Linked DNA regions of Diceros bicornis minor. The protein of the gene in region 2 interacts with the protein of the main gene of each other region in a pairwise test. Links are inferred from orthologs where the notes say so. Each region holds a gene or a part of one and is shown on either strand. Other genes may lie near its edges.

What was found.
Region 1: the proteins of NUDT18 (region 2) and PAICS interact in binary tests that used the Homo sapiens proteins (3 or more experiments, as listed by UniProt). The two-hybrid records come from large-scale screens. The link is inferred for Diceros bicornis minor from reciprocal best matches to the Homo sapiens genes NUDT18 and PAICS.

What each region holds. Positions count from the first base shown.
Region 1 is NC_080747.1:44,044,330-44,048,073, reverse strand, and holds the start of PAICS (bifunctional phosphoribosylaminoimidazole carboxylase/phosphoribosylaminoimidazole succinocarboxamide synthetase), read right to left. Parts: upstream 2,675-3,744; 5' UTR 2,603-2,674; intron 2,286-2,602; 5' UTR 2,235-2,285; coding exon 2,219-2,234; intron 1-2,218. Other genes in the region: PPAT (amidophosphoribosyltransferase), read left to right, coding at 3,062-3,189. UniProt on the Homo sapiens protein: Bifunctional phosphoribosylaminoimidazole carboxylase and phosphoribosylaminoimidazole succinocarboxamide synthetase catalyzing two reactions of the de novo purine biosynthetic pathway.
Region 2 is NC_080750.1:71,746,467-71,750,210, reverse strand, and holds the start of NUDT18 (8-oxo-dGDP phosphatase NUDT18), read right to left. Parts: upstream 2,386-3,744; 5' UTR 2,375-2,385; coding exon 2,213-2,374; intron 1,262-2,212; coding exon 1,048-1,261; intron 813-1,047; coding exon 217-812; 3' UTR 1-216. UniProt on the Homo sapiens protein: Mediates the hydrolysis of oxidized nucleoside diphosphate derivatives. Hydrolyzes 8-oxo-7,8-dihydroguanine (8-oxo-Gua)-containing deoxyribo- and ribonucleoside diphosphates to the monophosphates. Hydrolyzes 8-oxo-dGDP and 8-oxo-GDP with the same efficiencies.

The DNA of each region.
Region 1 (3,744 bases), on a different chromosome or scaffold from region 2:
TGCTATGCGGAGAATGAAATAAGGAAGGGGTGGGTGGAAGAAAACTAGAGACTGAGAGCAGTTAGCATGCTATTGCAGCAATCAAGGCAAGAAATGTCCTGGTCTAAGTAAAAAGCAGTGGCAAAAGATTCAAGATATTTAAAAGGTAAACATTTTAAGAACAATTGATTCAATATGGAGGATAACAGAGAGGGAAGAGTTGGGGGCAGATCCCGTGGCCCAGCGGTTAAGCGTGTGCGCTCCGCTGCTGGTGGCCCAGGTTTGGATCCCAGACGCCCACGGATTCACCGCTTGTCAGGCCACGCTGTGGCGGCGTCCCATATAAAGTGGAGGAAGATGGGCACGGAAGTTAGCCCAGGGCCAGTCTTCCTCAGCAAAAAGAGGTGGATTGGTATGGATGTTAGGTCAGGGCTGATCTTTCTCACCAAAAAAAAAAAAAAAGAGAGAGAAGAAAGAGTTAAGGATGTTGCCTAGGTTAGATAAAAGGCAAATGAAAGTTTGTACCTCCTGCCCCTCTCTCCCTATTTAATTGAATCAATATTTATTATGTAGTTGATAAATAGGGTAGGAATTTCAATTAATGGGTAGAAATAACGTAAGAAACAATCATAGGACACATATGCTACAAGTGCCAAAATGCCTGCTACAAATTCATAGATGAATTCAGAAGAGACTGCTGAAGACTGAGAATAATTCGTGGAATTGAAATGTTAGAGTCTTGAAAAGTAAAGAACCTCCACAGAAGAGGTAAGAACATCTAGGACTGCGCTGTGCAATAAGGTTGCCACTAGCCACATGTGGCTATGAAACACTTGAAATGTGGCTACTCCAAATTGAGATGTGAGTTAAGTGTAAAATACACAATGGATTGCAATATGGAAAAAAAGGATGCAAAATATTCCAATTTTTTATATTGATTACATGTTGAAATGATACTATTTTGTATATATCAGGTTAAATAAAACACATTAAAATTAATTTCACCTGTTTCTTTTTACATTTTAAAATGTGGCTACTAGAAAACAAAGTTACATATAGTTTCATATTATATTTCTATTAGAGAGGACTGTTCTAGAAGAAACAGTATAATAAACATAGAGAAGAGTAAACTTGTTGAATTAACCTGACTGGAATGTAGGCTTAGGATTCACAAGAGAGAAAAATTAAAGTTAGGGCTGAAGAGGTTGGAAGCAAGCAGTACGCAGGATGTGAATGAAAGTGTCTTCAGAATGGATTTTAACAGCACTTAGATTGCTATTGAACATTTTTGAGCAAGGAAGTGCCATTTAGGAACCATGAAAGTGAAATCTTAGAAATATTAACCTGTCAAGAATACGTAAGATGGAAGAGTCAAAAGCTCAGAGATTCTACCAGTTTAGAGGCATGGCAGGAAAAATTCTGGTCTAATACCTTGATTTTACGGAGTTGTTACTCGTGATCATCTGGAGCTTTTTGTTTAGTCTGTAATTTTTTACCTAAATTCAAATTTTCTACCTGGAAGAGAACGTACTGACTGGGCAACACCAGCAATTTGGTTCACCACAAATTTAGAAATTGAGTGTGTGGAGAAAACAAACGTTTTATCAGCATAAATGGCACAAATGATCGTTCCCGAGGATCTGACCACTCACGCACAAAATGATTACGTAAATAAGTAAACATGATAAATGCACACTGAAGCAAGGAAAACTTTTTTGGCCTGGTGGTTTTGGAGCTCTCCACAGCCATCATGGCATTAAAAGATTACTTTAACAAACACACACAAAATCTGGACAGAAAACAGCAAGATTTTTGGAAGGCTCAATTATTAACTTGCTGGAATAGCAGGTTACTATTAACCTAACAAGAAAAGCAAGACCTTGGTTTGAAGAGTCAACACTAGAGGTTCCTGTGGTTGTTTTACAACATCTACTGATTACAAACGCCATTTCCAGGCACCTCTCCAACCCCTGGCCATTTCTCGTTCTTCTTCCCCATCCCGGGGGCAGCTGTGGGTGTTGCAGCAAGTTCGGAGAGGCCCGGGAGCGCTTTGTTCAACGCACTTCTCGGCGGAACCTGGGCCACGTGTCCGCCGCCTAGAGGGGCCGCTGCAGGGAGACCCAGCACCGCCCCAGGAAGGATGCCGTCCGCGCGAGCCCGCGAGCTCAAGGCCGGGGGACGCGAAGACCGAGGAGGACAGGGCGGCCCCGGCGTACTCCTATGGAAGCCTGTTACTCACCCTCAGCAGTCGCCATGATCCTGCGTGGGCTCGGGGCCGCGGCCGCGCTAGGAAGAGAGGCAGGACTCTGGAAAAGAGGAGTGGCCAGAGACGCTCACAGACACGCCTCCGGAGCGCCCACCCGCGCTCTCTGCCAGCACCACAGCAAGGGCACAACCCTGGGCCTTTCCGCAGACACCTAGGAACTTACACTCCGGCAGCGAGCGCTTCCCCTAGGTTTCCCGCCGCGCAAGCGCAGCAACGCAGACCCTCCCCCCGCCCGCGCGGGCGCTGTGGCAGGAAAGGTGAAATGTGGCGCGCACTGGAAGCCCCTCCCCATTCTACAGCAGCTCGCGACCCGGGCCCCATTTCCGCAGCGCGTGCAGGTCACAGATTGGAGCGTACCAAGTAGTGACGGGCGGGGAAAAGCCTGTGGGGAGGGCACGCAAAGTTTATATCTTCTGGGAGAGAAATGATGTTAACCCCGCTAGTCTCATCACCCCCGCATTAGGCTCTGGAAAATAACGGAGATTTCCACGTGCAGAAAAATCAGTTCCCCTAGGCCTCTGGTGGAGGACTAGCTCCACCCCACAGAATCCGAGACTCCGCCCTCAGCCGCAGAGCCTCTCCCTCCGTCCTCGCTCATTGGTGGGCCCGGAGGGGGCGGGGCAGGGTGATGGGGGGGAGCTAATCACGCTCTCTCAGGCAAAGCTCGCGCCGCCGCAGTAGCAAGGGTCTAACCGCTGTGAAGGAAGAAGCTCTCGCGGGCGCGAGCTTCTGAGGCGTTCGGGCCAAGCGGGCGGGTGGTTAGTGCTTAGACCCCTGCTGCAGCGGCAGGTCCTTCCACGTGCTTTTGGCGGCGACATGGAGCTGGAGGAGTTGGGGATCCGAGAGGAATGTGGCGTGTTCGGGTGCATCGCCTCAGGAGAGTGGCCCACGCAGCTAGATGTGCCGCATGTGATCACTCTGGGACTCGTGGGGCTACAGCACCGGTGAGCAGCCGGGTGAGGCGGGGGGGTGGCGGCGCGTGTGCTTCTCCATCTGCCCGAGGCGCCTCCCGCGGCCTGAACTGGCGATCTCGCGCGCGCTCCTGAGGGCCGGGAGGCCAGACCTTTCTTACCTGGACCGGTACTTGCCTGTGGCATCGACCAGGTTGCCAAGGCGTGCTCGGGGGGCCACCCTGCCTCTCTGGACTTTAGCTTGTCCCCCCAACCCCTGATGCTCCCTAGATGCCCTCTCCCCTCCTCCAGTTTGTGCATGCCTCTTGAGTCTGACCAGTTTGTAAGGCTCGGGTTCGCTTGGGCTAGCGTGGTCCGTGCTCCTCCCGACTGCTTGCTGGTTTTCCTCTCCCAGAGCCTCAGCTGCTCTTGTTATAGGCTGGTGTAGGGTGGCTGCTGGTCCAGGACCTACAGCACCTTGAGATGTTGGTGCGGAGCCTCCAAACACCACAAGCTTTTGTTTGCTTGCAAGGGCAGAGCTATTGAGCAGATTGAGGATTTGGAGGTAGTTATAGGTAGGGGAACTTGAGGGAAACAGGACTAGTTGGT
Region 2 (3,744 bases):
CCTTGCTTGGTGAAAGGCACTGTCTCTTTTCGTACAATGTAGGGACCTGCTCCACAGTGAGGAGAGATGGAAGTGCCCCTGAGAGCCAGGAGAACTACCCTGCTCCCAATGCAACAAGATCCCTGACTGCCAACCTCCTGCCTTCCTCAGAGGGAGGCAAAGCCGTGGCGGAGAGGAGCACAGATGCCCAGCTCCTTGCCCAGTGACGGCACCTTCCTATCTGTTGACTGGCACGACAGATGATTCCTGAAGCCTCTGTAAGAGCTGGCTTTGTAGGTCTTCCTCCATCACCTTCCACCAAAAGAAGCTCTCACCCCGCACCTTCGGGGGCTCGTTTTGGATGCCTGGATTGCGAAAAGCCACTGTCACCAGCACATCCAGGCAGACGCCATCTGTATGGTCTTTTCCCAGGTGCTGCAGTCCAAGCAGCCCCTTGGTCTCCACTGCCAAGTGGTGCAGGGTCAGACACTCCTGCAGCAGCCGCAGGACAGCCATCTTGATGCCACCTCTCTGCTCCATGGGGGTGAAGCCACAGGCAGTGATGGGCAGGTGAGGCATCCCCACTGTGCCCACCAGCACCCACACTGTCTGGACACTGGTAAAGGTAGCCACGAGCCGCTGGCAGACCAGACTGCAGGGAAGCTCTTGGGGCAGAACAAGAGGATGCCTGGCTTGCTGGCGATACTGGGCAGCTAGCTCTACCAGGTGCAGAATGTCATGGGCCCGCAGCGGAGTGGGCAGGGAGGTTCGTGGGTACCAGCCAGCCTGCAGGGATTCTGCATCTGCCTCCTCAGAAGTTTTGAGAATTCCACCTGGGGGAGATGTGGGGCATGGGGTGGGGGAAGGGTCTATGTTGAGAGAAGTGCTGGGCCTGGCAGAGCAAATGCCACCCAGGCATTCTAGCTCTGACCCAGGGGAGCGGGGAGCCCAGTCAAGTCCTCAGGCTGGAATCTGGAGATGCCAGGCTTCTATCAGCCAGAATAGGGGCTCATCTCACCGGTAGACATGCTGGGGGAAAGGTGTCAATTGCCCCCTGTTGGGCCGTACCTGTGGGGCGAGCGAGGAACACAAAGCGGATCCAGGCAGTGCCCCGCTCCTCCACAGACAGCAATGTCAGGGGCTCGCAGTGCAGCCCGGCCTCCTCCTTCACCTCCCGCTGCAGCGCCTCCACGATGGTCTCCCCGGGCTCCATTCTCCCTGCGGGTAGGTACCACGACCCACGGCACTCTTTCTTGGCCTCCTGGATCAGTAGCACCTCATCCTGAGGGGAGAGAGAGGATCCTCAACCCCACCACAGCCAGGCTGGGGATTCCAGAGGAGCAGCACAGCCAGCAGCCTTCCCTTGCCCTGGGGCCGGATTGTATCTCAGATACAGTCGCCCAATAACCCCCTCCCAGTGGACACCCTCAAATTGTTGAGTTCTCCAGGGGACTGGCCCTTGTGTGGCTGGGAGCTGCAGCTGTCTCTCTCTGCAATTCATCCCTCTTTGCATTCAGACTTCCATCTCAGAAAGGGGCTGGGACTCCTGGGAGCTGCTTCAGGGGCTGGGAATCAGGCCCCACAGTGAGGCTGCCATGTGTCCTGCACAGATTTGTGTCTGCATGTGTCACTGTGTATCTCTCACCTCCCCCGTGGTTTACAAACTGCTTGCGGCTGGTCCCCACACTGGGGTCTAGCCTTTGGAACGCGCCCCCAGCCCCTACCCATACAACTCCTACTTATGGCCCTGGCCCCGTCTAGCTGTTTGTTGTTCCAGCAACTTGTACAGGGATCAGCACCAAAAAGAGCATCACAAGGTGGTCAGAAAGTCTGAGCGTAAGCGCGGGTTGTGCCATTACTGTCCATGGGACCCAGGGGAGTCTCTGAAGCACTGGACAGATCTTTGAGAGCCCACTCCGCAGGGGGCACTGCGCTAGATTCTGGGGAAAGGAAGAGGAATAAAAATAAGACAGCCCTCCCCTCAAGGAACTGAGGCCTAGTGGGATGGGACAAAAAGGCTTCCGGGCCTCAGTTTCCTCCTCTGTATAAGGGAACAATCGCAGGGCTGGGCCTCACAAGATGTGTGCGTAAGTGAGAGTGCTTTGCAAAACTGGGAAGCGCCACCCACGAGAAGGCGGTGGCGTGGCCGGGGGGGGGGGGGGGGGGGGTCCTCTGGCCCGCCGGCGAGCTGCGCGCTGCGGGGCCCGGGCGGCGGCCGGCGGCGGACGCTCACCTGCTCATTGAGGAACACCGCCAGCACCACGTAGCAGACGTTCTTCCGCAGCCGCGCCGGCGCCAGGGGCTCCCCGGCCGGCCCCGAGTCACAGCCCTGCACGCGCAGGCCCCGGCCCGCCAGCACCGCCGCCAGCGCCCCTGCCAGGCCCTCCGAAGCCATCGGTCCCCTGGGAGCGGCCGCCCGGGCCTGCAGACCGCCGGCCGGGCGGGGCGGGGCGGGGCGGGGCGGGGCGGGGCGGGGCGGGGCGGGACGTGGACGAGCGCTCGGCCGGCCGCCCGCGCCCCCTCCCCGAGAGCAGGCCGGCGTAGGCGAACGCGGAAGCGCCCGCGAGCCCGCCGCTGACAGGCTGCGCGTGTCCGCCGCCCGCCCGGATTGGCTGGCCCGCGTCGGGCGGGGCGGGGCGGAGCCAGGCCGTACTGTGGGGCAGGCGCGCGGCCCGGGGAGAGTGGACTCGGCTCGGCTTCTGCTTTCTGTCGGTCGCTCCCTACCCGCTCCCTCCCCGGCCATCTCCAGCCGCCAGCCTCGCTGATTCTTCCAGCGCGCACTCGTCTGCACCGGTTCCGACGGTGACGTCATCCCGCCTGCAGGCTGCGGAGCGCCGCCGAGGCCAACGACAGTGACGTCACAAGCCCGATGACGTCGCGGAGGCCTGGGGCGGCGGCTTGGGTCCGCTGTCCAACTTCTGTCCTAAACATACCACTGCATTGCCCGAAATGATCACTTCTCAGATAACCTTCTTCCTTCACAAAAATGTACTCAATGTCACAGTGACAGGGAGGACAAGCTTCTGCCTTAGAGGAGATTCTGATCTAGTCGGGGAGGTGGACCTTGACATACAATAAAAAGTCATCTGAGGGTTAATAAGCCAAGTGCTAAACGATGGGTTTGGGCAGGGGTGTGATAGGCGCTCAGAGGAGGGAAGGAGCGGGCCTGGGATGGTCAGGGTGTGGCTGGCGATGGGAGGAGGGGATTTGGGGCAGAGAGAGGGCCTGGAATCCACAGGCCCAGCCCTGCGTCGTCGGTGTTCCGGCCCCCTGCCCGCTGCATTTCCCACGCAGTTTTCGGGCCCTCTCCCCTGCGGGCTGAGAGCGTTTGTAGGGCAGGGCGGTCCTGCTCCTTTCTCTTTGCTGCCCCTACACCTAGTTTGCAGGCCTGGCGCATTGAGAGCAGGGTGTGGGTTGTTTTGGCGAGCTCCTGCTTCTCTCCCAGCCTGACCTTTCCTCCGCAGTTTCCTTTAACCTCTGCTCAGGACAGGAAGGCAGGGCCAGCTGGAGTGAAACTGTTAAGCCAGCAAAGTCTGGCTTTCTCATCCTGTTAGGTCCCTCATTTCTCTCTGGCTTTGTGCACCTCCCTTCTGGGGGACAGCAGCTTGTGGAGCAAAGCATTGGACTTGGGGCCAGCTGCCTGGCAACTGCTCCCTGGCTGTCTCTGTGCCCTGGGCAAGTTGTGGGTCTCAGCTTCCTCATCTGTAGAGTAGGTTCATAACAGCTGTTCCTTCCCACGGTTGTTGGGAAGATGAGACATCACAG